Struthio camelus: one gene and its partner. The protein of the gene in region 1 interacts with the protein of each later gene in a biochemical or structural test. Links are inferred from orthologs where the notes say so. Each region holds a gene or a part of one and is shown in the gene's direction. Other genes may lie near its edges.

Region 1 (7,104 bases):
ACCCGTCTCGTTTGGAGGCAAGGCGGTATTTGCCGGACAAATTAACGGGCACCTTGGCGCGTACCAGTAAATACCGCCCTTCTCTCCAGGTGTGGAAGCTGAATGCAGAGGCAGAGCAATGTTTCCGAAAGCAAAAACTCAGAAGAGGGTGTGATAAATAACCTCATTAGGAAGGAGGTTTCAAAGTACAACGGCACTGCTCGTTCTGATTCAAACCCGAGTAGAAAAAAGAGCTGCCGGATGACTGACTCATCGTTTCTGATCAGGCAGGTGACCTGCTGGAAATGAAGTTAGAAGAAGTACCGCTTTATTCACAGGTTTCCAAAGAACAGAACTAAATGGTTACATTATGTAAACAATGACATTAGGTAAAGAAAAATAGGACTCGAAAGCATGTTCTCTATAATCCAGTTGATTTATGATTACCGTTCGTCCTCCTGCAGACTGAGAGGGGAGACTATTCCTCTTTAAAGAAAACTCCTCATCAGACTTGGGTTAAAAAAGGATCAGATTTGTTAAGTCAGAGTTCTGTATGCCAGCTGAAATGCAAGGGCATGAACGCTAAAAGGGAAAAAGCAACATTACACAATGTCAACATGCTTTTTTGTAATAGCTGTGTGATCCTGGATAGTGCCAAAACAGTTTTGTCGTAGCTAATTCTCTTGCCAAAATGCTTTTCAGTAACGAAGCGTGAAGTCTGCAAAGGCTTACACTAGTGCCTGACTTTGTCCTGACTCACGGTCCTTGGCGGGTGCAGTGCCACCATCAGTTTTAGTAATCTATAATGCATAGAGGGTTAGTAATCGGGGGGCTCAACATCCAGGCAGCAGCAAGCAGCAAGCCCAGAGGTGGAGGCAGGGAGTGACAGCGTTCAACAGCTTCATCAGTGACCTGGATGAAGCGTCCTCACACATCTGCAAACGTTACCAACTTTCTCCTCTTGCTCTCTCCTTTGAATAATCTCCCTGCCTTTTCCTGAGGTCCCCTGCAGCTCCTGTCCACTTTGACCACCTTTCCTATTTCTTACTTATGGCTCGAAGCAGATCAAGTCAAACGTATCTTTGGCCAGGCGTGCAAGGTGGACAGCAGCAAAGACCAGGACCCTCAGGAAGGTGTTGATCTACTCACAGCCTGATCTTGGGACTATCCGGCAGCTATGATGCTAGGAGAGCTCTCTGTAGATAAGCCACGGAGACTGTTGCTTCCTGCTTCGCCAACCTCCCTGGATTTATAGTCCTCTACTGCAACCTGTGAGGGGTTGGCCGTGATAAAAGAATTTGCTGAATCTGCCAAGAAAGGAGGTGGACTCTGTCCCCTCCCAGCCACTATCAACAGGGTGGCTCTGCAGTTCCCCGAGGAAGCTGCCTGCCTTTCTTCACTGCTGGAGAGCAGGTGCAATCTTGCTACTGCTACAGGAGGTAGGAAAACAGGGAGATCCATACTGACCATGAAGAAGCCCATCTATTCTCTATCCAGCCTAAATCAGCATGTATCTTAGAAGTATTAGTCCACATCATGCAAGCAGATTTGTTTCTGTCATAAAATCTGTACAATCTTGTGCCCATGCACACATCTTAAAATAAGGTACCACCTTTCTGCTATGACCAGCATGGGTGTTGATACGCATATACACACTTAACCGTTTGTGTAGCATGGCACACGTGCATGTCTGTCCCGTAACCGAGCAATTACAATAGGTTGAGGGACGGACACAAAAGCAGGCACAGGCAGGGGGACAGGTCATGGAGGCCTTTGGAAAGAGGGAGCAGGCCATCCGGCAGGCCCAATGGCCCAGTTGACCTCTTTTTGGCTGTAACACCCCCAGTACAATGGTTCGGGATGCGGGGGGAGTGTGAGGAAAGCGACCACAGAGCGGCACCCAGCTCACATGCTCCACCTAAATGGCATCTCTCATTGCCAGGTACATCCCTGCCCAGTCCTGCATTAACTGCTGGTGGACCTGCTGTCCATGAATTAGTCCAATCCTTTTTTTGAACCTGCTGACACTCTGCCTCCACAGCCTTCTGTAGCAACAAAATCTGAAAGTTTCTACATTTTCTGCATCTGTATTTTTTTTTTCTGCCCACTTGAACCTGACCTCCTACCTGTTTTATCAAGTGCCCCACGTTCTCTTACTGAGGGACCTGGTGAGTAACAACTCAGCATCAATCAAATCCCCTCTCTGCTTTCCAAATGGAAGAGCCCCAGCCGTTTACTCTCTGCTCCATACCTGTACTATTTCGGTTGCCTTTCTCTGTACTTTGTTTCAGCAGTTTGTCACTGGGCTCCCCTGGGGTGCTGGTAAAAAGGTTGCGGGCTCAGAGGAGGGCTCCAGTCTCTGCATAGCTGTTCCTCGCACCGGATGCCTTTCCACCCCACTGTGCCCTGCTCCACGCCACCAGTCCCCTTGAAATGCCCCCCAGCAGGGTATCGGGTGGCAGGGGGCAGAAAGCGTCTGTCCCTTGTGCGGACACAGTGAGGCCAATTATAATGTCTTTTGAAAATCATTGCCCCAGCAAGGCCAGGAGCAGCTGCACAGGCTCGCTCTGGGCTCTTCTGCCTGCTGAGGTGCCGGGCACATCCCCGCGCCTGGTTCCCCTCCAGGCGGGTGCTCAACACGCTCCCTTTCACGGGAATGCCCCAGCCTCCCTGCACTCCCAGAAGGTGACTTTTCCAGAGTCTGAGGGTTGTTGGCTACATTTGGGGCATTTTGTAATACTTCAGTCTTCCTAAATCATCTCTCAAAACAATTTCTCTCCCTGCTGCGATTTATTTAAATCTGCAACACTGTTACCTAACATGGAAAGAAGCTAGTCATTCGGTTGGCCTGAAGGAAACTGCGTGCAACTGCAGAGTTTCAGAAATACAGCCAAAAAAAAAAAAAAAAGTGACCTTTTCCTAAATACTCCTTGGCGCAATGCCCTTGCTGATCTAGTTATTGCTCATTAAGGAAAAGCCAGCCGTCTTCGGAGGGAAAGAAGGAAAACTACAGCTCCCAGCAGCCTGCCTGGGCACCGGGGAAGGGCAGAGTTCACTGTCACGTTGACAGCGGAGGATTAAGAGTGCACGGCTGGGGAACGGGCTGTCCTGCCAACCGCGGGGCCACCAGGCCTCCGGGAAGGGCGCGCGCACGCTACGGTGCTGTCACCAGCCGCCTCTTGCAGCCCCTCTGCTTGGCTTCGCCACCTGGACCGGCTCCAAACCTGCACGGGTAAGCGCTGACTCCAGCAGAGACTTTGCTCCTCCGACTTCCTTCTTCTGCCAGCGTCACTGCGGGGACCCAGCGCGGGGAGGGGACGGGAGGGACGCGAGCCCAGCAGCAATTATATCCCCCCCCAGCCTCATAGGCAGCAAGAAAACCCGGTTATAGAGACAGCATCGGGTGGCAGAAGGTGCCCCCTTCGGCTAGGAGAGCTGCTGTAAAGATCGGATATTGAGGTCTTGTATTTCACGTAAATCTGCAGGAACTGGTCCCTGGCAGGGAAAGTTTCTCGTGCGTTGTACCTGCTCCCTGCTGCTCACCCTTGCTGGCTGGTGGTCGGGCAGGCGTTGCGCTCATGAAACCTATGGGCTGGAGTCTGTATTGATGGGGAAACGCGGGCACCAGAGAAGTCTGCTTCCACAGTGCCCGTTTCCTCTAAGACTCCCTGTCTGGAGGTTTCCGAGTGGTCTTGAAAACACAGCTTCGCTGTCTTCGGCTATGCCAGTAATACTAGCTACCTGCTGCGGGCGGCTGCCTGCTCCCACGGTGCTTCTGCTGCGGGAGGGACTATCGCTGCGGATGGTGTAGGAGAGTCGGCCCGCAGCTCCCAGTTTATTAATATCCATTAATTAACATTAAAAAGTAATTATTAATATCATAATAAAGCTAGGGCTTTGCTCTGTGTCGATGCAGCTGCGTTGTGCAGGATACCGGGTGTCTCCAATTGCATGTAAGAGCCTGCAGAGCCGCAGCCTCGAGGCCTGCAGTCTCGGAGGCGGCACAGCATGGCTGCGGCTGCCCGGCTGGATAAGAAACCCCTGCCCGGGCGTGCTGGCTTGTCCCAGGACAGCTCTGCAAAACTGGTGCAGCCCCTGGACTGTTTGTAGCCTGCTGGGCAGGTGAAATAGTTACTATTGTTTGGGCTCAAGCGCTCGTGTCATGCATTATTGGAAATGCGCCTGGGCACATCCATCCATTTTCACATCACCCAAGCAGCTTGATAAGTACAGACAGGGAGGGAGCAGCCTCCTCTTCCACTCAATCACAGCTTCTGCGCTTGTGCTTATCAGTTTTACTGGTGGTTAGTTGCAATTCCTGAGGCCCTGAAGGGATGGTGTCTGCGTGCAGGGGTAGGACTTGCTCGGCCACTCAAGCGGCAGGGAGACAAGTCTCCTTATGACCAAGTCGGAAAGTGAAACAGAACAGTGCAGAGCCCAGGACTCCAAGAGAGCAAGAAAATGGAAGAGAATCCAAATGCGGACCTCTGCCAAGGTAAGCAAATCCCACTCGTGCTCCATGTACTGCCCCTTTGCAAGAAAATTTCAACAGTGAAAAGGGAAACCTGAAGCAAGAAAGAGAAAGCGGCTATCTTTTGCGGGGGTGGGGAGGGAGGGGAAGGATAAGTTACTTTCAGTTTTGGATTCCCAGCAGCAACAAGCTTAGACTTGGTGTCCAGGACTGTAGCGCAAGAAGGACTCCAGAATGGGAGAGGTTTCTTCCCAGCCTCCCAGCGCTTCCCCATGAGAGGCAGCTTTGTTGTGAAGCTGGTTGCAGAGAGGAGAATACCCTCTCTGGGGCAGCAGGCCAGAGAGAGGACAATCCAGTAGAGCAACTCCCATCGCGGGGATACATGCAATGGGTGGCAGGGGCTGGAGAGCAACTCCTTCCTATTACCGCTGAGGAAGAAGAGGCTCTGTTGAACACTGGTATCTCAGACGGACCCCCTTAGAAAGGCAGCTCTGAGTTTATAACAAAATACACTTCCATTTGAGCAGCGAGCCTCAAAGGCTTATTTATACCTGGCAGGCAGGCACACATTTCACACAGAGACAACTTGGCTCAAGCTCAGGATCCAAACTGCAGAGCCCAGATTCCACAAATCTACAGGTGCTTAAATAACAAGCCCTTCTTCCACCATCTATGGATGGGAAACCTCCCTGGACAGGCGCTGTTTGTGCCCAGTTTGAATAGCAGGATACCTCTCAGGTTCCTCACGTTTCAATGTCTAGCATGTACTTACATTCTCCTGGTACCTTGTTATTAGTAGTACATGTGGGTATTTCAGTGATGCCTAGATGCTATAATCAGATAAGACCTGTCCTAAGCGTTCTGAAATGTTCCCATAATAATCAGCAACAAAGAACGTAATAATCATGCTCCAAAGGACAGTGTGTTCTGACACGAAACCAGTGCAGCTATTTGTCTGTTTTCAAATTAGTGGGGAGTTCCTTGCGATTTTTAATCAATCTTTATTCTAATTTTAGCACAATCATTTCTGTCACTGTAGAGCTAGATCTGTAGGATCATTCACACTCCCGCCCTTTTTGTTTAAAAAAAAAAAAAAGTCAGATTTGAGCTGCAGTGTTAAGCATTTGCAAGATTCCAGATCTTGCCAAACTAATGTTCAGCTTCAGAATCTCTCTGTTGAATTCCTCTCTGATATTTGCTCTTAATTTGCTGCTTCTACAATACCTGATCTTAACTGTTTGGGAGAACAGCTCCAGAACAGGGACAGAGCACAAACAGAGCTAACATTTAATTTTTTTTCAGGCAGATGCTCAGAGTGTTGACATTAACTATTCCGGCCAATATCCAACAACAGCTTTAGAAACGCTTCAGATCAGTCATCTTAATTTACCAGCCTAGGAAAACCACTGTCTGTGGAAGATGTGGTAACATATCCTAACACTTAATGAAGAAACTGCTCCCCATCATAGGGCAACGTTAACGGGGTTTGTGCATTAAAAGCATTTCTATTTACCAGCCCTGGACAGGTTGAAGTGTAGATAGAGGAGTGTGTCCCTAAAAGTGATTAGTCATTGCGTAGCCACTATTGCAGTCACAAATGCAAAGACCCAGTTGAGTCCTTTTTGAAAGCATGAGGCAGCACGATTCATTGGTGATGATGGCTGGTCACAGTAAATTCTGTTCTTGGCAATTTGTTTGTATAGATGTTTCTGAAATGCAAAGACTGGGAGTTTTGCCGGGTGGTGGTAAAGAAGTAGATTTTCTTGACTCCTGTATGGAGATTTGAGCTGTGAACTCTGATGCCAACAGCTGGGCCAGCCCAGGATGAGGGGGAGAGCACAGCAGAGCATCCTGCCCACCAAGAGAGCCCCCGAGAAGCACTTGGGCACCAAGTGACGAGCAGCTGGCCTGAAACCTCCTGCAAACCAGAGGAGAGGGATCCTGCAGTGGGTGAATCATCGACTGCTGCTGGGGGCAAGGTGACACACTTGGGGCAGGCTGGCCCTACAGTAGAGGAGAAGGTCCCCCAGGAAACCAAAGCGTCATTGGAAGAATCTGGAGAGACAGGAGATGGTCTCTCAGAAAGATCCCAGGCAGAAGATGACACAGATGGAGGTGAGTCCTCTCCCCATCTGTGTGTTTGCATGGCACTTCCAAAATGCTGATAACCAGGGGCTTTGCTGAGAGGAGGCAGAACAGAAGAAAGGACTGTTGGTTCTTGTGCTTGAAGAGGCTGAGCTTAGGTCTGTGAATTTTGTTCCCTACAGCCAGGCTAGCTCAAAACAAAACAGACAGCAAAGGAGAGAGCCCTGTCTACCAGGAAACACACGGGCACCAGGAGACAAGCAGGCAAGACAAAAGCTCCCACAGACCAGAGGAAGGTGATTTATCAATAGGCAAGTCACTGAACTCCGACAGTAAAAGGCGACATTCAGGTCCGACTGCCACAGAAAGTGTCACCAGCAGCCTCTTGGCAGAGGAGAGTGCCAGTGCCTCCCTCCTAGATGAGGAGCCAGCAGAGCACACGAAGCAAGAAACTCTGGAGAGTGAATCCCATAGCATGCTAAGGAACAGACGTGGGACCGAAGGTGAGTTATGGCTGCACATTGCTGCTGCTCCACTCTGCACATGCCCACACTTTGCAGAGACACTGG
Region 2 (7,104 bases), on another chromosome or scaffold:
TTTAGAGTCAGATTTGTGTGTTCCAAAGGAAATGAAGAGTCTTACAACCACTTTTGATGAACTAGTGCTACTGAAGTTTGGTGGATCCCATCTTGCGTGTATCGATTACTCATAGAACCGATTACAAGAATGCTTGTTCTGAGGTTGCGTTGTTTCTGCTTAGTTGTAACAGATGCTATAGAGGTATGTGCATCCGAATTACACTACTGAATAACCATAATATTCTGTATCTGATGTCTTCCTTTTCTCAGTTTATCATGAGGAGCTAAATGCACCAGTGAGAAGGAATAAAGAAGAACCAAAGCCCCGTCCACTGAGAGTGGGGGATACAGAGAGGCCAGAACCTGAGCGTAAGTTCCTAATCTGATATATTTTTTTAAGTGGAGATACTGAAACTCTTCAGGGATCTTGCACAGAGTGATGAGGCTCTGCTTGCCTTCTCTTAAATATGGGGATGCTGAAGTAGCGGAGGAGTGGAGCAGTCTGTATTTGAAGTCCCATGGGAGGGTCTGGCTCCCCTGCTAGGTTACGCATGAAGACATCTGGATGGAAGATGTCTTTACAGATATCCAAGGCTGTCCAAGGTCAAGATTGAAACATTGACAAATCTGATTGCTGAGGGTGTGATGAGAGAGCTGGAGTAGCTAGGGATGCTGGGTTAAGGAGCATTGACTGCTAAGGGAATAACCAGATTTCACGCAGCAAGAGGATGTCAGTTGTGTGGCTTTAGAGGAGTTCACAGGGGAAGTGGTAGTGCTAAGGAAATGTCTCCTCCTTTCTGTTACATACGTGAAAGGACAGGAAATAATATTTTCTTGTATTTCTTTTGAAGGGTCTCCTCCAAATCGCAAACGTCCACCCAATGAAAAAGCAACAGACGATTATCACTATGAGAAATTCAAGAAGATGAATAGGCGATACTGATGAGAGCGCGGTCTGAAGTCTTTGCAGGAGCTGTTATTTTCCACCAGCACAGGATCTTGTGTCAGTGACTCGTGGAGGGGGTGGGAATCACTGCCTTCACATGCTGGTGTTAACTACAAGGCTTTTCTTGTTGTGATCCTGTAGTGAATCAGTTTGCAGGTGATTGTGAACTCTTCAGTCAGTAAAATCTTTTGTATAATTTATTTTCAGTTATAAAACTTCTTTTTTTAAGAACATGAGCTTTCTGGTTGGCATTTTTTAGTGGGAAGTCAGGCTTGTTTACAGATTCTTACATATTCTTAAAAAATACAAAGAAAGAGACCTTGTAAAGGCAGCAGTGCTGTTTGGCTTGTAAATGTAAGGGAAAAGGTTCAAGCCAGTTTGCTATAATCAGCTTCGTAAGAGACTTCTTGTTTGTTCCCAAGGGTTTTTGCTGTGCAGAGCGTGTAAGATACCCCAGTAGCACGTTCAGTGCTGCTGCTCTTGGGCCCAGCTTCTGAGTGCAGACGGATGCCGGGAGAAATCTTGGCATTAGCTGTGCCTGGCCACAGCATAGCTTGGGTCGTCTCATCTGTGCTAGGAATGACAGCAAATACCGAGTAATGGAGGTTACACTTTTTATTTTATGGTGCGCAGTGTTGTTTTGTATCTTTTCCTCCCTCTGGACTTATTTCTACAGCAGTTCATTGCATTGTATTTTAGTTGTAAAGAATAAGGAAACTGGATCAGGTTGTAATTGCGTGAACGTGAGGAAAATCTCATGTTCAGCCGTCTTCGGATGGGGCCAGTGTGGCGGTAGGTGAAGAGGCCTGAGGCCTGTGAGAGCCACGTGTCCCCAGGAAACGTGATGTGAGGTAACCTGAGGGCAAGATTTTGAAATAAGAAATAATAAAAGTGTTTTTAAATTATCCCAAGTGACAGTTTTTCTTTCAGGGAAACGGGCAGCTAACTTCTCAGTGCTCGTGGCGATGACGGCCAGGGTGCCCTGCGGCCGTGAAGGCGTTAGCATCTCTTCATTGGGGAGTGGAAAGTCCGGGGACTTGGGGGATAGACCCAAATTTTTCATTTAAATAAAAAACAGGTTTAATAAAAAAAAAAAAGGGGGTGGGAGAGTACGTGTCTACAGGTGTGGGGCCGCGCCTCTGCCCTTGCAGCGCCTGCTACCGTGCAGGGACGCCATGGCTAACCGTTTCCAGGCGCGGCCTGTTTGAATTAAGCCCGTCAGGCTGTGCTGCGGGCCTTGCGGGGTCGAGTCACGTCATGTCGCGACACGAAGGCGCGTCACGTTGTTGTCCCAAAGAAGGGACGTGACGTGTCCCGTGACGGCGGCGGAGGGTGCGCTGCTAACATGGCCGCCTGCCCTTAGCGCCGGCTCCGCCTCTGCCCGGACCTAAGATGGCGGCGGCGGAAGCGACGCGCGGCGGCGGCGGAAGCAGCGGCGGCCGGGGCCGGGCCGGGCCGGGCCGGGCGGGCCATGAAGCTGCGGCGGGGCGCGCTGCCGGTGGCGCTGGCGCTGCTGCCGCTGCTGCCGCTGCTGGGGCCCGCGCGCGCCGTGGAGCCCATCAGCCTGGGACTGGCCATCGCCGGCGCCGCCGCTTCGGCCCTCACCGGCTTCATCTCCTACCCGCGCGTCTACTGTTACTTCAGGGAGTGCTGCCTCCAGCGCCACGACAGGCGCGCCGCCGCCGGTGCGGGCCGGGCCGGGCCGGGCCGGGCAGGCCGAGGGGATGGCCGCGGAGCTGAGCGACGAGCCCGGGGCGGCGGGGGGAGTCGGGGCCGTGGCCGGGGTCCCTCGGTGCCGGAACTGGGCAGGGGGAACCCAAGGGGAGACGCTCCCTGCCGCCCCCTCCTGCCGGCCCTGGTGGCGGGGGCGCGGCGAGGCCGCTCGGGGCCGGGGGCCACCAGCCGGACCCGCTCGGTTCCCTGTGGGGATGGGCCGGGCACCCGGTGCTCCAGCTTGGCCAGCCCTTTGATCCCTCGCTTGGGGTTGGCGGAGTTCGAGCTGGGGTTGGCGGTGATACGGGGCCCTCCTTAGAAACCAGTAGGACTTAAAACTTATTGTCTCTTTTGCTATTTTTTTTTCCCTTATGGTGTTATCTTCTCCATCCAGGCCTTCAGGAGAGCTTGGACAGAAAGCTGTTTGGACAGCACCTAGTGAACAAGGTGATTGTAAAGGCCGTGAAGGGCTTCTTGAATAACACAGACCCCAAAAAGCCTCTTGCCCTGTCCTTGCACGGATGGACTGGAACAGGCAAAAACTTTGTCAGTAAGATAATTGCCGAAAGCATTTATAAAAAAGGCCTGAAGAGTAAATACGTCCATCAGTTTGTGGCTACGTTGCATTTTCCTCATGCTGACAGCATCAATCTGTACAAGGTAAGAATACGTTGTGGATCTCCTAGCAGTAGAGCACAGTTCTGCAGCAGTAGCTGTTGTATTAATTTATAAAAGTTATGGCACAGTCAGCACTAGAAGCCTAGATGCTATTTTGCACTGTAAAATGTAGCCGGTGCCAGTTTTGGAATCTCTTAAACTGAATTGGATAAATCCTAACATGCACCAGGACTGATTTCCCATGAATGTAAAGCCATTTTCTGCATAATGTTTTGAGCCTCCCCTTAGAGAAAAATGATGTGGTTCATTTTCATTGCTATATACTTTGTCTAGAGATGCAGATCTAGAGATCTGCTTAATGATAAAGGGTATTCAGCAGGCTGCAAGGGATAGGTGATACGCTGATGGGCACTGCAAAAACAAATAAGAATTTATGACTCTGGAGAAACGGCTGACAGCTTTCAAGTATGTCAGGTACCGTGGATAGCTGAAGGGTATCTGAGACATGGGTGCGCTTTTCTCCTTCATCACACGCTGGGCAGTTTATTTAATTTTTCTATGTATCCATTTCCCAGCTGTAAAATCAAATTACAAAAGACTGTCTTCAGAAAGGTACAGATAAATATAGTTGGAATTGTTCTGCCAGTCTGCTAAAAGTGTCAGGGCAGTACTCTAGGTGGGTGGATGTAATGAGGGGCAGTACAGCGCAGACATGCATTTTCTGCGTTCGTGAGTTCTTCTAATGTTGTTGGTAGCAGAGTGTGAATGAGTAGCACTGTATTTCATGTTTATCTTCAACGTGTACATGTTGAAAATGGGAATAGGATGGGTTTCCTCCATACAGAAAGTAGGTTTGTAGACTGTTTCCTCTTTTATGGCCAACTGTTGCCCTTTTTGCAACTGGGCTGTTTTGAAATAAAATGGATCCTCTTCTGTCTTTGTTATGAGGTGAATTCATAACAAGTTTCTGCTTGGGAAACTTGCTGCCCGAGACAGTAGGAGGAGCTGTCACTTCTTATCTGCAGTACAGCCAGTGCTGTCTTCCTGTGTTGTCTCAGTGTGGTTCAGGGACCGATTAAACAGGGAACCTCAGAAAGTGATGAATCATTGAAAACAGTCAGAACGGTTACTACTCATTCATCTGCCAAACAGATCAATCCCCCCCCCCCCATTTATTTTTCTTACTATTTCATTATTATCTTAAATGTAACACTTCAATGAGAAAGTCTTTAAATCATTATAAAGTATTAGCCTTTCTAAACAATGCTGTGTTTTAAGAAGGGTTTGTAATCAGCTTCGCTTAACTTCTAGATGATTAAAACTCAGGACTGAGTGTTTAATTGTGTTTGTACTTATGCTAGTGACTCGGTCTATAAATGTGATTTTTTCACTGATGCTCTTCAAGTAGCAAATTTATATTGTTGTTTGGACACCTGAAGACATTTAGACCAAAGTGCTGCCAAAAGTAATCAGCCTAGCTGACAGGGCTTTGCTTTGTGTTGCTGTTTCGTGGTGGTACCCCTCCTTTGTCCTAGTGTGCGGACTCTCCTTTTTGCTGTGTTTACAGGAATATCTTTTCCATGAGGAGATTTCATGCTTGCCCCATCCTGTTTCTTGGTATCTGGTATTTTGAATCTTAAGTTTTCAGAACCAGTATGACATTTTGCTGTAGTGTTATTTACAGCTTTTAACACCTCTGGCTTCTTAACTAAAACATGGTTAAAGATGACATGATTGAAACGACACTTTCAGAACAAAAGTGAATAAGCACAAGACCTATTCTCTGTCTTTTCAAATGAACTCTTTCAATCACTTTTATTTTTATGCCTCTCAGGACCAGCTGCAGTCATGGATTCGGGGAAATGTGAGCATCTGTCCCAGATCACTCTTCATATTTGATGAAATGGATAAAATGCATGCAGGGCTCATTGACTCCATCAAGCCATTTTTGGACTACTATGAGCTTCTTAATGGAGTGTCTTACCGGAAAGCCATCTTCATATTCCTCAGGTAAGAAGTGGCCTCTCAAGTTTGCAGTTCTGTACACTCAGTGCACTACAAAACTGTCTCCAGCTGCAATCTTTGTTTTTTTTCTTTACTTAGCAATGCGGGAGCTGAAAAAATAACAGAGGTGGCACTAGATTTCTGGAGAAAAGGAAGGACAAGGGAAGATATACAGCTCACAGATATGCAGAATGCGCTGTCTGTGTCTGTCTTCAATAACAAGAATAGTGAGTAGAACTTTGATTGCTTTCAAGGTTGTAAATCCCTGTCTGGATTGACAGCTCCTCAGCCATTTCCGGTGTTGCACAAAGACATATATATCCCTGTTTTTTGGGTGCTTCTGTGCTTTTGGGAGCCACCACATCTAGTATAAAGATTTTCAGAGGAGTTTGGGCTTCTGCAAGATGCTGGATGAAGTCTCTGGAGATGTCTGCCAGATCATCCCGCTAACTTTGATGTATAGGAATGGATTCATCAGCTGTCGATGGTATGCCTGTGAGCAGCTGTGGTGTGAAAAATGTAAATCGTATGTTTGTTCTAGAACAGTAGAGAGATTTATTTGCTGGGAGATAGGTATATAAACAAAAGCGATGCCACGTTTAATGTACGAACTGCGCTTGTACAGCTGTGGCTTCCACTTGACATGGGCTCCGGTTTTCAGCTAGTGAGGAGCCATGGTGCAGGTCTGAGGCCTACAGACTGCTATTGAGATGAAATGGAGGTTAGGAACTCTGTGTGTGACTTGGCTACCGGCATGTTTACTCGGTGACTCTGTTGGGTTACGTATGTTGGGGATTGTCTACTCTGAGCGTTTATTGACATTTTAATGGGTTGCAGGGAAAAACAAGCAGAAAAGAAGCCTAGACGGTAAGATTAGGTATTGCGTTAGCTGATAAATCTTTGACCCATACAGCATTTTAATATGGAGAAGACGGTTACTTGCCTCCAGCCCAGTTAGATCACCTGTCTTGCTGAGGCTGGGCAAAGCCTTCAGGCAGCTTTTAGGAGCTATTCAGGGGAACAAGCTGACCTGCTGACCCTGCTGTGGGGAGTCCAATGCTTCCTGGGTGTTCTTGCATGGGATTTCCGGGGAAAAAGGATTTTAAGATAATTATGCTTTAATATTAGCAGTAGAAGCAAACCTACTGTATTTTTTTTTTTAAAAAAGGCTAGATGCAAGTTCCGAAAAAAGGAGCAAGGTGAGCTAGTCTCGGGGGGGCTGATATAAGAGACTGAAAAATCTGGGCTTCTGTAGGTGAGAGAAGTGAAGGTATGAGACCAGCAGCTGGGGAATAATGTATTCATGCAGTAGAGTTCCAAAAGATCACGTCTGTGAGTCTGTCCCAGACTTTATGCACAAAGTACTATGAGAATGGGCTTGTATTTGGGCTTTCTTGTCTGTCACAGGGCCCTAATTCACAAGTGAAATCTTTCTGTGGTTTCTAGCAGGGGGATATGATATTGCTCCCTTTTAACCCATAGAGGAGCACTACCAACCCTCCCTTCTCTTTCCCTTTGCAGGTGGTTTTTGGCACAGCACCTTGATTGATAGAAATCTCATCGACTACTTTGTTCCTTTCCTGCCTCTGGAATACAAACATGTGAAAATGTGTGTCAGGGTTGAGATCGAATCACGTGGCTATGCTGTGGATGAAGACATTTTAACCAGAATAGCCGATGAGATGACCTACTTCCCCAGAGACGAGAGAATTTATTCAGATAAAGGATGTAAAACTGTGTATGCCAAACTGGATTATTACTATGACTTCTGATGCTTTACTACTGCAATCTGCAAAGAAGCAAATTAACTTAATCACAAAGTGGAGAAACCGGGACATTTCA

Evidence for each region.
Region 2: the proteins of torsin-1A-interacting protein 2 (region 1) and torsin-1A form a complex in vitro, tested with the Homo sapiens proteins (4 studies listed by BioGRID and IntAct, with this or other methods). The link is inferred for Struthio camelus from reciprocal best matches to the Homo sapiens genes TOR1AIP2 and TOR1A.

Annotation. Positions count from the first base shown.
Region 1 is NC_090949.1:6,527,989-6,535,092, reverse strand, and holds the start of torsin-1A-interacting protein 2, read left to right. Parts: upstream 1-3,016; 5' UTR 3,017-3,211; intron 3,212-4,330; 5' UTR 4,331-4,440; coding exon 4,441-4,474; intron 4,475-6,259; coding exon 6,260-6,565; intron 6,566-6,717; coding exon 6,718-7,038; intron 7,039-7,104. UniProt on the Homo sapiens protein: Required for endoplasmic reticulum integrity. Regulates the distribution of TOR1A between the endoplasmic reticulum and the nuclear envelope as well as induces TOR1A, TOR1B and TOR3A ATPase activity.
Region 2 is NC_090961.1:6,713,991-6,721,094, forward strand, and holds the start of torsin-1A, read left to right. Parts: upstream 1-2,365; 5' UTR 2,366-2,398; coding exon 2,399-2,612; intron 2,613-3,034; coding exon 3,035-3,300; intron 3,301-5,092; coding exon 5,093-5,268; intron 5,269-5,361; coding exon 5,362-5,489; intron 5,490-6,783; coding exon 6,784-7,034; 3' UTR 7,035-7,104. Other genes in the region: C20H9orf78 (splicing factor C9orf78 homolog), read left to right, coding at 252-350, 833-924. UniProt on the Homo sapiens protein: Protein with chaperone functions important for the control of protein folding, processing, stability and localization as well as for the reduction of misfolded protein aggregates.